2 linked regions of the Daphnia pulex genome follow. The protein of the gene in region 1 interacts with the protein of each later gene in a pairwise test. Links are inferred from orthologs where the notes say so. Each region holds a gene or a part of one and is shown on either strand. Other genes may lie near its edges. The genes, in order: G-protein-signaling modulator 2-like and guanine nucleotide-binding protein G(o) subunit alpha.

Region 1 (6,952 bases):
ATTGTGATTCATACGTAGTATCAAACACACTTGTCAGTAACTTTGTGTTTGCTTTCTCACAGAGCTGGTGTCGCCTTTTTCGAAGCAGCAATTCAAGCTGGTACCGATGACTTGAGGACCCTCAGCGCCATTTACTCACAACTTGGAAATGCATATTTTTACCTGGGTGAATACACCAAAGCCATGCAGTATCACAAACATGATCTTACTCTAGCCAGGTAATTGTTCACACACTATATTTGTTTGGTTCTAATTGTGGAAAAATTTAAATTTTATTTTCTAAACTGCCATATTTTACAGAACCATGGGTGACAGACTAGGTGAAGCCAAAGCCAGTGGAAATCTTGGAAACACATTGAAAGTAATGGGCAGATTCGATGAAGCTGTTCTCTGTTGCAAAAGACACCTCGACATTTCCAGGGAGCTTACCGATAAAGTACAGTTTTTTTTAGCTCCTAATATCGTTTTCGTCGCCTCTAATGTAAACATGGCTCCCACGCATTTCCAGGTTGGAGAAGGAAGGGCGTTGTATAACTTGGGGAACGTTTTTCATGCGAAAGGAAAACATCTCGGCCGGCTGGGTCAACAAGATCCAGGCGAGTTTCCCGAAGACGTGCGGAACTGCCTGCTAACAGCCGTAAATTATTACGAGTGAGTTTTTATTTTTTCCAAGAGGAAGTTGAGATTGGATTTTACTTACCCGTTCTGATTAACATTATCTTTTGGTTTTCGTCTTAATAGAGAAAATCTTGAACTCATGAGAGAAATAACCGATCGTGCTGCCCAAGGTCGGGCATGCGGGAACTTGGGCAATACCCATTATCTCTTGGGTAGCTTTACGCAAGCCATAAAATATCATCAAGAGGTGAGCGTTTTTGGCTATAAAAAATGTATATCTTATGATATCGTGTGTATGGGTTGTAAAAAAAACGAAGGTTTAATAGGGAAGGCTTAGGGAGATTAAAATCGATACAATCGGGACAAATTATTCGTGGTTTACGTGAGCGAAAAATCTTCTTTCATCGCCCACTTTCTTTTTTCAATTGTGCTTCTAGCGACTGAATATTGCTCGAGAATTTGGGGACAAAGCAGCCGAAAGGAGAGCCCACAGCAACCTGGGAAATGCGCACATCTTCCTCGGAGAGTTCGAAACGGCTGCAGAACATTACAAGTAAATACAGCGACTTCCTTTTTACTGATCGAAAGTTTCCGTAATTTGCGTATGAAAAGGACGGAATCGTCGAGCGTCTTTAAACTTTAAAGAAATCCCATTCAAATTCAATTTACCCCCCTCTCCCTCAGGAAAACACTCCTACTTGCACAGGATCTCGGAGATCGAGCCGTCGAAGCGCAAGCCTGTTACAGCCTGGGAAATACGTATACTCTGCTTCGCGATTATCCCACAGCCATCGATTACCATCTGCGGCACTTGCGTATTGCTGAAGAGCTAATGGATAAAGTTGGAGAAGGTTAGTCGGTGCTGAGAACTCGGTGCTCATTTTCTTTCGGGTTGTTTTTTGTTTGTTCTTTTAAATTTGGAAAATCTTTCTTCCCTGTGATCGCCATTAACATTGTTCCGGTTTGTTTCGTGACCGTCACCAATAGGACGTGCTTGCTGGAGCTTGGGGAATGCACACGCTGCCATGGGAAATCACGAGAAAGCCCTGCACTACGCACAACGGCACCTTGAAATATCCCGCGAGGTGAGCCAACACGAACCAATCAACCGACCTACTAATGGACTAATGGTTATGGCGTAAAATGACCGTTACCCTCTTTTCTCCATCTCTAAGATTGGCGATCCGACCGGCGAGGCGACAGCACAGATGAACTTGGCCGACTTGAGACGCACATTGGGCGTTGACGGCGACGGTGGTTGCGGCGGCATGGGAAACTCAACGAAAGGTCACGCTTCCGAGGCCGACGACGACGGACTCTACGGAGCAGATAGCAAGGCAAGGCGCAGGTTAAGCATGGAGCGCATGGATTTGCTCAAGGTTTGTTTGTGTTCGTCCGCTTTTGTCGCTTTGTTATTATTCTTGGCTTCTATTTTCTCGCATACCGCACCCTCGCGTTCAAACTTGGGAAGGTGGGAAATCTACCGGAGACCTTCCAAAACTTCTATTTTTTCTCTTGGCAAAATCTGCAGCATGGCGATTTTATTATTATTTTTATTACCGTCATCATTGTTTTCGTTGGTCCGTTTCAATTTCGGTTGCTTGCACTGTGATTAATCCAGCTGACGCCGGATGTGAAACAACTTCATAGCAAGGGACGCCGGGAACTGCATGAAATGGATCCTGTGTGGCCTAGACCGCTCGCTGGTCACCCGTTGGTTAGACGTGATATGCTGCCCCCGTTTGTAAGTTTCAACAATCCTCTCTTGATCCGGCTCTATCGGATGGCTCGTTCGTCTGTCTGCTTCTTTCGCTGCCAGTCTATCACAACTGTCACATCTCATAGTCTCGCTTGTTGTTTTTGTCTCTCTATTTCTGTCCGTTACTACCCTGTTGCTAACCGGAATCCATTTCGTTTTGCAATACGATAGGCCAACGGAGACGACGCCATGGATGAAGAGGAATCCTTTTTTAATTTGGTCACTCAATTCCAATCGAAACGCATGGACGATCAGCGTTGCTCGTTGGCAATCGTAGACAACAAGGAGAACCAACAAGCAAGTACACTCCCGTCGAATATTCACGGTGAGTTGTTTTTCCAGGGAAACCAGGGAGGGGGGATACGCGCTCCTGGCGTCGCCCCGAGTTTTGTTTCGTTTGCCTGCTTCTACGAGGGAGTGTGTTTTTATTTTCCTCTTTTTTCGCATATTGTTTCGATAGAGAGCCCGTCGAGATTGAAGGAAGATTTAATGGACCTGATCGCCGGCATGCAGAGTCGCCGGATGGATGAGCAGAGAGCTTCACTACCGCGACTACCCGGCCTGAACAACGCCAATCCAGACATTTTACGTCGGCTGTCTGTGGAGCCAGCCGGCGAGGATGCAGCCGCATTGCCCGATGAGAATTTCTTCGAAATGTTGATGCGGTGTCAGGTTAGATATTCTTCCACCTTTTTGGCCGAATTTGTACTCGTTTCTTTTTCACGAACGACTTTTTAAAATGATTTTTTACTTTTTATTTTTTTCATCGTGTAGGGTACGAGGCTGGAAGATCAGCGCAGCGCCTTGCCGGATACATCGCCTCGGCGGCACAGGGGGCCCACCATGCCCGACGAAGACTTTTTCTCGTTGATAATGCGACTCCAATCGGGTCGACTCGAGGATCAAAGAGCCGAAGATCCTTCACCTCTCATCGCTGCCAACGGAGCTGCCGCCACTTCCTCCTAGACGGAACGGTATCCCTAACCTCTCGGAATGTTTTACCCCTCCTCGCCATCAGCTCTCATCCATGATCGAAATGTATGTTGACAGTCTCTATCAATACCCTCTCTCCATTTTTATTCGTTTCAAAAAATAGCCATTCCCTTTTTCTTTTACTTTTGACCGAGTTTTTTTTTCCAAAAAAACTCTTCCAACTTCACATCCATTTCATTCGCTCTCTGCCTCCTCCTGGAAGTAGAAATCGCGAAAATTAAATCTCACCATTCCTCCTTTGGGGAACAAACAAGGGGAAGGGGGGGTTGATTGTCCGTTCCCGCATGGTTGCACACGAGTTCAAAGGAGTCCCTTTTTTTTTCCGAACATGGCAGTTCTTGTCTTCTCTTTCTATTCCGTTGGCAGAGCATTGTTCCTACTCCCAACGTGAAAGGCAGTTAGAAGACAATAAATAGGCCTATTCCTCGTTTTATTTATTTTTGTCCCCATCTTTTTTTTTTCTTTCTTGGATCTGCAGTGGAAAGTCATCATTGTTGTCGTGAAAACGAAATTGTTTGTCATGGAAGTTTTTAGAGATGAGATTAAGTTGGCGACAGTGTGAGCAAGAAGGGGAAAAAAACAAAATTCGATTTCTCGTTATCTTTTCACTTTGGTGCTTGGTGGGCTCCTTTCCTTCGGGATATTTTCGTTTTATTATTGTAGCGAAATGAAAATGTTTCTTTTTTTGTCGAGGACTGACGTGAAAGAGATGTAAATGCAGATGCCTATGGGGGTGGGGGGTAAACGAGTCGTGTTTTTGTTTCCTCCCAACATAAAAAGCGAGGGCCAAAAGGGGATTGGAACGAGAGCACTTTGTTCTATTTTTCACGCGAGTAAAATGAATCCTGTTTGATATTCAACATCTTCCATACGCGTGCGCAAACTTTTATTATTTTCTTGGGTCTGTCTTGTTGCACGGCACCGATTCTGTTCCCTCCCAAACTTCCAAGGCCCACCCCTCCTCCTTTATTGAAATGTTCAACTTGAATTCTTGTTGCCCATTTCTTTTTTGTTGTGTTGATACAACATTTAGACGTGCCGCCATGTGTAATCCAAACCAGCTGCGTCGTTCTCAGTCCAACTTCTCTTTCTTCCTCCTCTTCTGTATTTCTCTCGCCCCAATTGTCTTGATTCCAACTGTTGGGTCCAGGTGGGCATTTTACGAGAAGAACATAAAGATAAAAGTTACAAAAAAATAATAATAATAATATTCCCTAAATGGACGTGTATGTCAGTGTGTGTATCGCGCCGATTTTAGGTCTTACCTCCCTCTCCGCCTCGTTGCTTTTCTTATACACACCTCTCTTAGGCTACACATCTTGCCCGGAACAAACTCCTCCAGTCTTTTTTAGGTTGAACGGCTCTTGTCTTGTATGTGCAACAGTTTCTGTTTTCACGATAAAATGAAACTGCCGTGGCGACTGCACCAATCCTTCCCCCAACGTTCTTTCCATCTCCTCCGTGTGCCCCCCCCCACTTGTAAAACGTACATGTTTTCTTATTTTTCTTTTTTTTTTCGTTGCTGTCAACGATGATGTACAAATTATGATGGAGCTCAAAATTGGGTTTGACTTTCATTTCAGTCCTCATAACCATTAGTAGATTGGTACGGCGTCCGACACAAAGAGAAATGATGGCGTGACATTCTCAAGTTCCTTGACGACTCGACAGTCGACGACTGCGGTGACTTGGTGCGTCGTAAAGAAAATGGCGTGTAATTTCTCCACGAGTCGCTGGGCTGTTTGTTAACGATCCAAGACGAGATGAATTATTGCAGTCTGGGCGTTGGTCGAAGGCGGAACGAGCCCCCGATGGGTTGCCGACGTCATCCGCGCGCTTCCGTCACGTCCCAGTCGCTTAGACCTTGTACAATTTTGGTCGTCCCTCTTGATTTTATTTGACAAATCGCCTTACGATTCAAAAGACGAGCTGGATGTTCCGTATAATGCCGGATAGGAGGGGTATCAAGATACCGATACAGCGCAGATGGGTATCCGGTTTTCTGTCTTTTCTTTTTGCACACGTCGCCCGGTTCTATTAAAAAACTTTTTTCTTTTTTTTTTCCGAATCCGATTGAAGCGAGTCGACGACTAGAGCAAACAAACAAAATAAACAGAAAGCGATTGCGTGATTCTTTTTACATTTCCCTCTTTTTATCCTTGTAAAATTCTCCATGATTCGATGGCAGAATCATGTCCGTCGCTTCGGTTCGCAAAGTTCACTAGATCTACTTGCTTTTCCTTTCTCTCTCTCTCCGTTTTATTTGTTTCCTTTCTCAAATACTGTCTGACTGAATGTAGCAGTCTCGGTCTGGTTCCTCAGGTTCTCCCCCCGCCACTTTGTTGTCGTGTTTCTTTCGACATCGACCTTTTATTTTATTTTTATATATCTCTCGGACTGCTGCGGGAGTCATCGGCAAGGAGAGTCCGCCTTATTTGGCGCATCTTTACGTGATTGCCATCGATCTCGGAACTTTTCACGGACCCTCACCCCCGGCCTTCCTAATATTCTTTTTTGCTTTGCTTTGGCGTTTATTTGGTTTTTCCATTTCGTTCACACTCGACTTGAAACGTCGAACCTGGTGTAGTGCGTAGTCGTATTCTGCTTTTCTTTGATTTGTTGGACCATTTTTCTTTTTCTGGGGGGGATAGCTGACCGTGGCGATATTGGACATCGTTTTTCTTTGATTTGATTTGATTTACTTCTTCTTCCTTACGTATTCTTCCCTCAATTCTTGGAATCCAATCCATTCTACACCCCCCTCGGGTTGGTCCATTTTTCTTTTCTTCTCTCCCTGTTTGCTTTTCTTAGAGACATAAGACTTATTGGACAGAAAAAAAATGGATCTCACCGATTCTGTTTTAATGTGACGCACTTGGGTCAAGTTTAGACTCTGAGACGTAGTCGAGGCCGTGCCGGAGATGGGCACCGTTCGTGATCGATCCACCCCTTTCACTCTTTTGACTCCTGAATGTTGTATATATATACACTCCTATACCTTACCATACTCTCTCCGTTCTTTATCTTCCAGGTATACGTATATGTTCTTGTGTGTCTGCGTATCTTCTTTTGAGAAAGGATCTTTTTTATTTCCTTTTATTTCTCCATTAATTTTGTTTATAGTGTCCACCGGCTTCTTCTTTTTTTCCTTCCTTCCTCGTTTTATCTCGTCTTATTCCACGTCCTAGCCCTTCGCCGGATTTGTTGCACTTTCGTTAGTGCACTTTGTTGATTTCCAAGATTACTTCGACTTGCCTTCCCGTTTGGCTTCTCTCTCCTTTTCTTTTTCTTCTTCTTCTTCTTTATCCTGCGAGCTTTGTTATTGTTCATCTTGACTAGGGATCGGATCCCTTTAGGTCTCAATTTGTAATCACGTGAGGTAATCGAGAATTTGGGCAGCCAATGAGTTAATGAGGGATAAATTCTGTCTCCCGAGCAACGAGTTGCCGGCCAGTCTCATTATTATTTCCCAGGCGAGACACACGGGGGGGACGAGTCAATCCTCCATCCTGTTGCGACCCTCATCGCTGCGCTGGCAGTATCAGGTAGCGCCGTGTCCTGGTTGCCTCGTGCCCCGGCCAG
Region 2 (8,357 bases), on another chromosome or scaffold:
TCTCGCGCATGGAGGACACCGAGCCCTTCTCCGAAGAACTGCTGGCAGCCATGAAACGACTGTGGATCGATTCCGGAGTCCAAGAATGCTTCGGTCGATCTAATGAATACCAACTCAACGATTCCGCTAAATAGTAAGAAAGATCGACAGTAGCAATCTCTGCCAGTTACTACTACTCATTTGACATGTAAAGAGGAGGGGGGCCCTGTGGCGACTTAGGTCCCTCTTGGTCAGAACATTTTCGAGTTCCACGAAAAAATATTTTCAAATTTGAGAAAACCGGACCTGATCGTCAGTGGCTCTACTAACGAGTAATTTAATGAACCCTAACTGAGTCAACAGAAACGGCAAGAGAAAAAAAAAGTTAAGTCAATCGCCTAACTCAGACGAATAATCGTAAGCTGCGTAGCCCACCAAGCAACGATTTATAACCAACGCCACCAAATGGTCTAAAAGGAAGAATAGAGATAAGTTTGTCCTACCTTTAAGCCTGGGAAGATACAGCCAGGCATCCACGAACGCTCCATCCATCCGCAGAAAAGTTGAATCCGCCAGGCAGGATAATAAGAAAAAGGGCGTCCTCGTGAACACACCCACAGTCACATGGGTGTACACGAGGACATTAAAAGAAAGGGGAAGCAGAGATCCGTAACTCTGGTGACATCAGTAGTTTCTCCAATCCATCTCAACGAGATGCTGTTTATCTAAATCATAAATTTAAAATTGGTTACGAAAAAATATTGAAATAAAAAACAAACAAAGAAAAGTTGAAAATGAGACACTGGGTAAATCTTAATTTCATGGGGGAATCTAAGGTTTCCATATAATACACTGAATGCAAGCCATGCATCATTCAAATACGTAGCAGGACACAGGAGTAAAGTAATAACCCTTGAAATCATTACCTAAGCGTTGATGCTGAAATTGTTGAGTGATGATAGGTCCAACACGAGATAAATCAAAACTTGCTTATGATCTTGTGGTTATGATGGCTGGTGAAGGCCTCAAATCTGCACAAAAGTAAAACAAACAAAAATCTGAACAGTGCAAAGAAAATTGCCACTTCGACAGAGGGCTTACATCTTACATGACAAATGCTAACCAGGAATTACAATTTCACAAATTTGGAACAGATTTCTCTTCTATTTAAGCACCCATTATTATTCTATTTGTATTATTATTTTTATATTTACCTGCAGAAAAGTGATCGTTTCATTTTCTTTGTAATCTCTAATCTTACATCTTACATCTTTTGTTCCCTCTTTCAAAACGTGGAAGCAGACGACACTAATATTCTAATTAGAAATGCTTAGATATCGATAGAAATTATTTTTTTTAAATCGACCCCCAAATCCAAACCGATAAAAAAGTAAAAACGATAAAAGCAGTTTCCGATCGAACGACCGAAACGGCCACAATAAGACCCTCCAGAACCCTCTTGAAAGCCAAGAGGGAATAAATAATCATTCGAGAGTCCCCCTTACCATTCACATTTTCGTGTCATACATAATAATTACATATCTAGCTTGGTATCTTTATGGTGGACGGCTTGATCCTTCCTTTCGTCTTCTTTTCCAGGAAATAATCCAAGATCTTTGTATTATTATTTCCTGTTTTTAGCTTTTTAGACGATTTGGACCGATTGGGAGCCAAGGATTACCAGCCGACTGAACAGGATATTCTGCGAACGCGAGTCAAAACTACCGGCATCGTCGAAGTCCACTTTTCATTCAAAAACCTCAATTTCAAGTGAGTGCCGCATCGGTCGAGTTCTGACTGTGAGATTGTGACTGTAATATTTCATTGATTGATTTCTTCGTCATCAGATTGTTCGACGTCGGAGGGCAGCGCTCCGAGCGGAAGAAGTGGATCCATTGCTTCGAGGACGTGACGGCCATCATCTTTTGCGTGGCCATGTCCGAGTACGATCAAGTGCTACATGAAGACGAGACCACCGTAAGAATTTCTTAAATACAACTCAATCAATTTATTATTTGAATTTAAAAAATAATGAATCGAATTGATTTTCGACAGAACCGAATGCAAGAGAGTTTGAAACTGTTTGATTCGATTTGCAACAACAAATGGTTCACGGACACGTCCATCATCCTCTTCCTCAACAAAAAGGATCTCTTTGAAGAGAAAATCAAAAAATCTCCTCTGACCATCTGCTTCCCAGAGTACACAGGTAAAATATTATTTCCCAACCAACCCCAAATAATTTAATCAATTAAAACAAAAACGAACGGGAAATTGTTGCAGGTGCGCAAGAGTACGGCGAAGCGGCGGCCTACATCCAGGCCCAGTTCGAAGCCAAGAACAAATCAACGACCAAGGAGATCTACTGCCACATGACGTGCGCCACGGACACGACCAACATCCAGTTCGTGTTCGACGCCGTCACCGACGTCATCATCGCCAACAATCTACGAGGATGCGGCCTCTACTGAGCTCTGCCAGCCCCCCAAACTTTATACATTGAACTTTTTAAAAATTCATCATCCACTTTTATTCCCCCCTTTGATTTTGTATTCTTCACTTTGGGTTCAAATTCGAAGAAATTTCGTTTTCTCTCTCTCTTAATTTTGGGGTGGGATTAACAATTGTGTGGGGAAATTTCCCTCCTCGTCCAGCCCCACCTCTTTTTGCTCCCGGCCGGAACAAAAAACGGAAACAGGAAAATCGCGCGCACACACCAAAATGACGTCATCGCACAGTAAAATAATCCCAGACTGAAAAAATATAGTGAACCGTTTTCTTACCAAAAGCGCAACAAGAAAAGAGCAGCTCATCTCTCCCGACTCTTGTCGACTGTCATTTTTTTTGGGTTTCTAAATTATTCCTTTCTGCCTGTTGTTTGTTTCTTTTTTCTTCTATCTCTCTCTCTCTCTCTTGCCCACTCAAAAACACTCCCGCGTTCGGAAGGGAAAAAATCTTCCTTCCTTGTCTGAACCGGATGTCGTCGGCTCACGTCGTTTACGTCAATCGCGTCATCATCAGACCCAACTGTTCTCCCTGTCTCAAAAAAGCGCACGCTAGTCAATGCCCCACCCACTGCCCCAACAGCCTCTCTCTCTCCACATATAAAAGAAGAGATGAAAGTCGACGACAGCCGCTCCCGCACACGAGGAGAATTGCACAAAAGAGAGAGAGAGAATTCACGGGAAGATGAATCGATTTAACAAAAAGGGGCGGGCGGGGGGAACTTATTATTATGATTATGTAAAAGACGAAATAACTCTCCCACAATGTCGAGAGGCCAGCAGCCAAGTCCCCTGAAAAAATAAGAGGAAGCAAAAAAAAATGCGCGCGTGCTGTGTGTGTGTGTGTGTAAAGGAGATGACATTCCAATCTTTGATTTCAAAGCTCTTTTTGATTTCTCTCCGCACGCTTTTTTGCAAATTTCTTTTGTTATCTCGTCGTGTCCCTTTTTTTAATTTTCGAACGCACCGGCGTCACCGAGACGAGAGAGACTGAACGAAACCGACGGAAGGAAGAACAAATTTAATTCGTTTACCTTTTGATATTTCGAGAGAGTCGTCGTTTTGCTGTGCCATTTTCTAAAAAAAAGAAAAACAGAATGTCGACATCAAAAGAAATCCAAAATGTCAAAGAGAATTCGAGAGAGAGAGAGAAATTAGCCCGAACAAATAACTAGAAAGAAAAGACTCACGGTGCAATTTCGATTTGTTTTATGTATCGACGTTCTTTTGATCTATTGAACAAAAAAGCGTCGCCGTAGCGCAATTTGAAAATGTCGTTTTTACTTTGATCGGGAAATGGCTGAAAAAGTTTGTTTTTCAAATTTCCCCCTCGGGACCGATACGCCATCAATTTTCCCTATCGAATCGGTCGGTCTCTCTCTCTCGACGTCGTTATTTGACAATGTCGATAAGAATGGCAACCTTTTTTTTCTTTTCTGGAATACGGGCATTTGTTTGATTGGTTCTAGTCAATTTCAGTGGCATCACGTCGGCATCAACTAACCCCAGGGAGGATTTAAGAAGAAAGAAAAAAAGGGCAATTGAATATTTCGAGACGTGCGTAACAAAAAGGAATGGGAAACTTTTTCTTACTTTCTTACCGCGGACATGACCAATGAGGATTGTCACGTCCGTTTCTGTATAATCATCCATCTACCCTCGTCTCTTCTATTGCTCGCCGTTTTTCCTCATCGTCGTTATTGTGCCCATCAAAGTCGCTGTAAAACAACTTGCCTCTCTCTCTTTCACCTTGTGTTTTTCTTCTCTTAGCTGGACGTTACAGCACACGCTGCACTTATTTGATTTCTTGTGTGTGTGTCTCTCGTTTGCCAATTTGTCCAACATTTTCGTTCAATTTGTTTGTTTCCTTGGCCGTTTGCGCGCAAAACGTGGCTCTTTTGTTTCCTCTCATTTCCTTCTTTGCTTCAAGAGCGGGATACTAAAAAAAAAAAAAAATAAGAAATTACTAAATAGATTTGGCAAGGGTCCAAACCTCTCCAGAGTGAGAGAGAGAGAGACAAAAAACAAAAATTAATTTACACAAAAAACCGCACACCCAAAAACCCAGCGGATATATAACTATAATGTTGCTGCTGCTGCCATCCCGACACACACTTTGTTATTTCATTTTTTTTTTTTTACCCTCCTGTCTCTCCTTCCTGTTTCTGTTTTTTTTTTTATAGTTAGAAAAAGCTAAACACCCGGGCTAATCTAATATCCTTCTTGGGCGGAAAACGGGGAATTTCTCGGATGAATTAGATTTTACCTTTTTTATTTCATTTTCTTTTGGTTTTTTGTTGTTCGCTCGCTCTCCAGCACGCTCGTATATTTGTTCTTTATATATGTGGATTCCATCGTTCCATTCGATACAATCAATATGTTTAGATTTGAGAAAAAGAAGATAGGGGCGAAACAAGAAATTTTTTCTTTTTTTTTAATTTTCCTGCTGGGCTTGGGGGAAAGAAAAAAATCTGTTTAATAACAAGAGCGAAAAGAGAAAAAAACTTTCAGAGCTTTTGATTTTTAAAATGACATGAAAAAAAAAAGCTTTGATTAGACGAGAGACACCTTCACTTTCGATACCCAAAACCGTCGTGCGTGTGTGTGTGTGTTTGTTATTATACTCTATTATAATCCCCAATGATGTTCTTCTCCTTTCTTCTTCATTCTTCTCCTTCCACGGCGTTTCAACGCGCCCAATCTACGTAGCTACTTTGATAGCGCTTATTATTTGACACGAAAGAAGAAAAGATATAAACCGAAAACTAAACTAAAAAAAACAAAAACAAAAACAAAAAAAACAACTAAAAAATACGCAAAAAAACAACAAAAACAAACAAACAAACAAAACAATGATCGTTATATACATAATTATATATATTTCGCCTGGCGATGATGCCGCTGCACCCCTCCACCACACCACACCTTGTTTTTTTCCCGCGCGGCTTTTCGATTCGAACTCAATTCCCGACCGAAACGTAAAAGAAAACAAGGCAACAACAAGCATCCAATCTCCAAAATGATAATCTTAACCAATTTTGAGGAATAGAAATTAAAAAAAAGAATAAAAAAAGGCGCACAAAAATTGATCACAAACAACACCTGGACAAAAAGTTGGTGTGAAATTCAACTCGAGTCAAGGTGCAACATATTTCGGCTCTCTCTCTCTCTCTTCGTAAATCATCGTCCGCATTCAAAGCAATTGGCAAGGCACAAGAAAATGTTTTTTTTTTTTCGTTTCTAATTATTTCCCCGTGTGTTATTTTTTTCTTTTTGGAAAAGAAAAATTACCAACCAAACTAAACATTTGGATTTTGATAACTTTGTAGATGCTTTTGTGCGTTTATAATTGTATGATAGCCGCTAGAGGTTATTACTGTCGAGTTGCGGGAGGGGGTTATTTGAAAAGCGGTTGGAAGTCAAAAAGTCAAACTGGGAATCAGTAACACCTCAATTTTTAGGGGGGAGAGGGGTAACTGGAGAAATGCTTAAATGACCATTGCGACATTCTCTCCGTCGTCATTTTATTCAAACAAGACCTTCCTCATTTTTCTTTCCCCCTTATCTCTTTGAATTGGCCCATTTTCCTTCTCTGTTGTCTCCATACACTTTCTCTCTCTGTCCTCATTTTCCTTTAAATGTATCCGTTGTCATGTAATCGCCATAAAACCTTCCCAGCTATCACTTTGCGACTCGGAGATTGATTCTAATCAAATCAAAATCATCTCACCTAGTCAAAATTTTTTTTTAAATCTTTTGATCTTATTTCTTTTACCACGCCCACCTCCCTTGTTTGAGATCGTGAGACAATATAAAATATGAGAAGTAAAAAAAGAAAAAAACTAAACTAAAATCGCTGATATATAATTCGAAATTGAATTGTTAGGCTTTGAATACCCGGCTCCTTTTTTTTTTTTTAATTAAGCCCCTCAACCTCCTTGATAGGAAACGATTAAAATTCGATTTTTCAATGTGTCCAGACTCGCGTGTCAAGTGATGATGATTTTTATTGTATCATGTAGAAGCGCTTTCTTCGATTCCCTTTTGCGTTTGAAAATGTATCATTGCTGGACGACGACATCAAAGATAGCAGAAGAAAAACAAAAATTGCACACAAGATTTAATCCTATAACCGACAAATTTCAAAAAAACAAACAAAAAAACCAAAATGTTCGTTCGGGACTACTATTCCTTCCGTACTCTGTTGCGTTAAATAGGCTGTGCGTGTATTGCTCTAATTTTCCAGATTAGTTATTTCATCCCCGCCAATTTCCCAAATCGCCAATCAAATCAACAAAATTGTCATGCAGCCCTCCTTAATTAAATTAGCTCGCCGAATTTTTTCCCATTTCCTTCATTTTTCCTCTCAACTGATTTATTATTATTATGACAACCTCTAATATCAACAGCAGTTGGCCAAATCTTCTTCTTCCCTATTACCCAACAACAAAAATAGGCGGGAAACCCCTCAAAATTCGAATTGATTCCCTCTCTTTCTCTCGCTCTCGTAAGTATATTCCTTTCGATCGTTTTGATTTTTCTTTTTTTTTTTCAGTATATATATATACATTGGTTATCCCAAAAAATATATATATCGGCTTGAATTTAATTGAGGTTGTCCCCCCCTCTTCTCGGCTCTATCTTGCGTTCATTTCCTTGTGATTCTCCTTCCTTCCTCACACTCTCATTCGTCTGGTTTGTTTCGTTTTTTCCTGCATCGCCTCTCAGTTTGTTTCATTTCATTCAATCGAGAAAAACAAAACAACCAATACCCAAAAATGGTAAAAGAAAAACACCTCTTCAACATATATTCTTCAGTTGGTTATTATTATTATTCATCTTTATATATGATTTGTGGGTTTCGATCTGAACAACAACAAGTTTATGTTGGTGTATTCTGTACATGGCGAAACAACAAAGTTTTAATGTAATTCCAAAAAACTCGTTTCGTCTTCACTTTACTTCTTTATTCAATTCGAATACTGACGCAATCATCGGTCACATTTTTAGGGAATCGACCATCGAAGATGTGACTAGCATTGCAAACTTAGTTTAAACTAAATTAATCTATTGAAAAAAACCATGTGTGTTTTAAGTTGTTCACCAACGAGAACCATTGAGAGATATGTTCACATGGATGGACAAGAAAACTCTAAGATGTCTGAAATGATCCCTTGATTATTTTGTTTTTTAAATTTTCTTCTAATTCGGCCAATAAAATGGCCTCATCCTGACGTCTGACAAGAAAAAAAGCTACTTCTGTGTCTGCCTATGCCAGCTTATTCTACACTACAAAATAATTCACACTCTGGTTTACAAAATGAAAACAAACATACCTGCAAAAATAGTAGAATGCTTGTTGTGAAGTGCACAAACTAGTCCCTTGTAAGTTTTTATCTCTGATTTCAAGTATTTTATCACACTCCAAAAATTCAAAAAAGATTCATGACTTTCATGTGTCGTTTGCTAAATTGTAGTCTGCAATCTTTTGCAGTTGCCAGATTTCGAAAATGAGTCGAAAATTGACTAGAAACATTTTTTGTAATTATCGAATTTTTTTCTAACTAAAAAAACTCAATCAAACTCAATCAAACTAAATAATTACGATTAAACTAGATATTGGAAAATCAAGATTTGCAACGTTAGGTAGGACGGTGATGAAGAGACTTCAACTACGGAATCTCAAGGCTTTTCCATAATGGCCGGGGACTTTTTCCCGTTTCAATTGTTCCCGCCGCCGCGTGAGCGACGAGTATAGTACGCGAAAAACGTCGTTTGCAATCTTGTTACCGCATCCGAGTTCTACTCGTCTCGGCTAACAAGGTGCGACAGCGCTTCTTCTCAATGATTCGGGTCGTTATTCACGGTGTCTCG

The links.
Region 2: the proteins of G-protein-signaling modulator 2-like (region 1) and guanine nucleotide-binding protein G(o) subunit alpha interact in a two-hybrid assay, tested with the Drosophila melanogaster proteins (3 studies listed by BioGRID, with this or other methods). The link is inferred for Daphnia pulex from reciprocal best matches to the Drosophila melanogaster genes pins and Galphao.

Annotation. Positions count from the first base shown.
Region 1 is NC_060018.1:4,013,610-4,020,561, forward strand, and holds the end of G-protein-signaling modulator 2-like, read left to right. Parts: intron 1-62; coding exon 63-218; intron 219-300; coding exon 301-436; intron 437-508; coding exon 509-651; intron 652-741; coding exon 742-865; intron 866-1,055; coding exon 1,056-1,171; intron 1,172-1,302; coding exon 1,303-1,469; intron 1,470-1,605; coding exon 1,606-1,703; intron 1,704-1,793; coding exon 1,794-1,997; intron 1,998-2,239; coding exon 2,240-2,362; intron 2,363-2,548; coding exon 2,549-2,702; coding exon of another isoform or gene 2,703-2,837; coding exon 2,838-3,049; intron 3,050-3,151; coding exon 3,152-3,343; 3' UTR 3,344-3,803; downstream 3,804-6,952.
Region 2 is NC_060022.1:883,808-892,164, reverse strand, and holds the end of guanine nucleotide-binding protein G(o) subunit alpha, read left to right. Parts: coding exon 1-133; intron 134-482; exon of another isoform or gene 483-704; intron 705-905; exon of another isoform or gene 906-1,010; intron 1,011-1,193; exon of another isoform or gene 1,194-1,347; intron 1,348-1,620; coding exon 1,621-1,749; intron 1,750-1,826; coding exon 1,827-1,956; intron 1,957-2,034; coding exon 2,035-2,188; intron 2,189-2,262; coding exon 2,263-2,450; 3' UTR 2,451-7,427; downstream 7,428-8,357. UniProt on the Drosophila melanogaster protein: Guanine nucleotide-binding proteins (G proteins) are involved as modulators or transducers in various transmembrane signaling systems.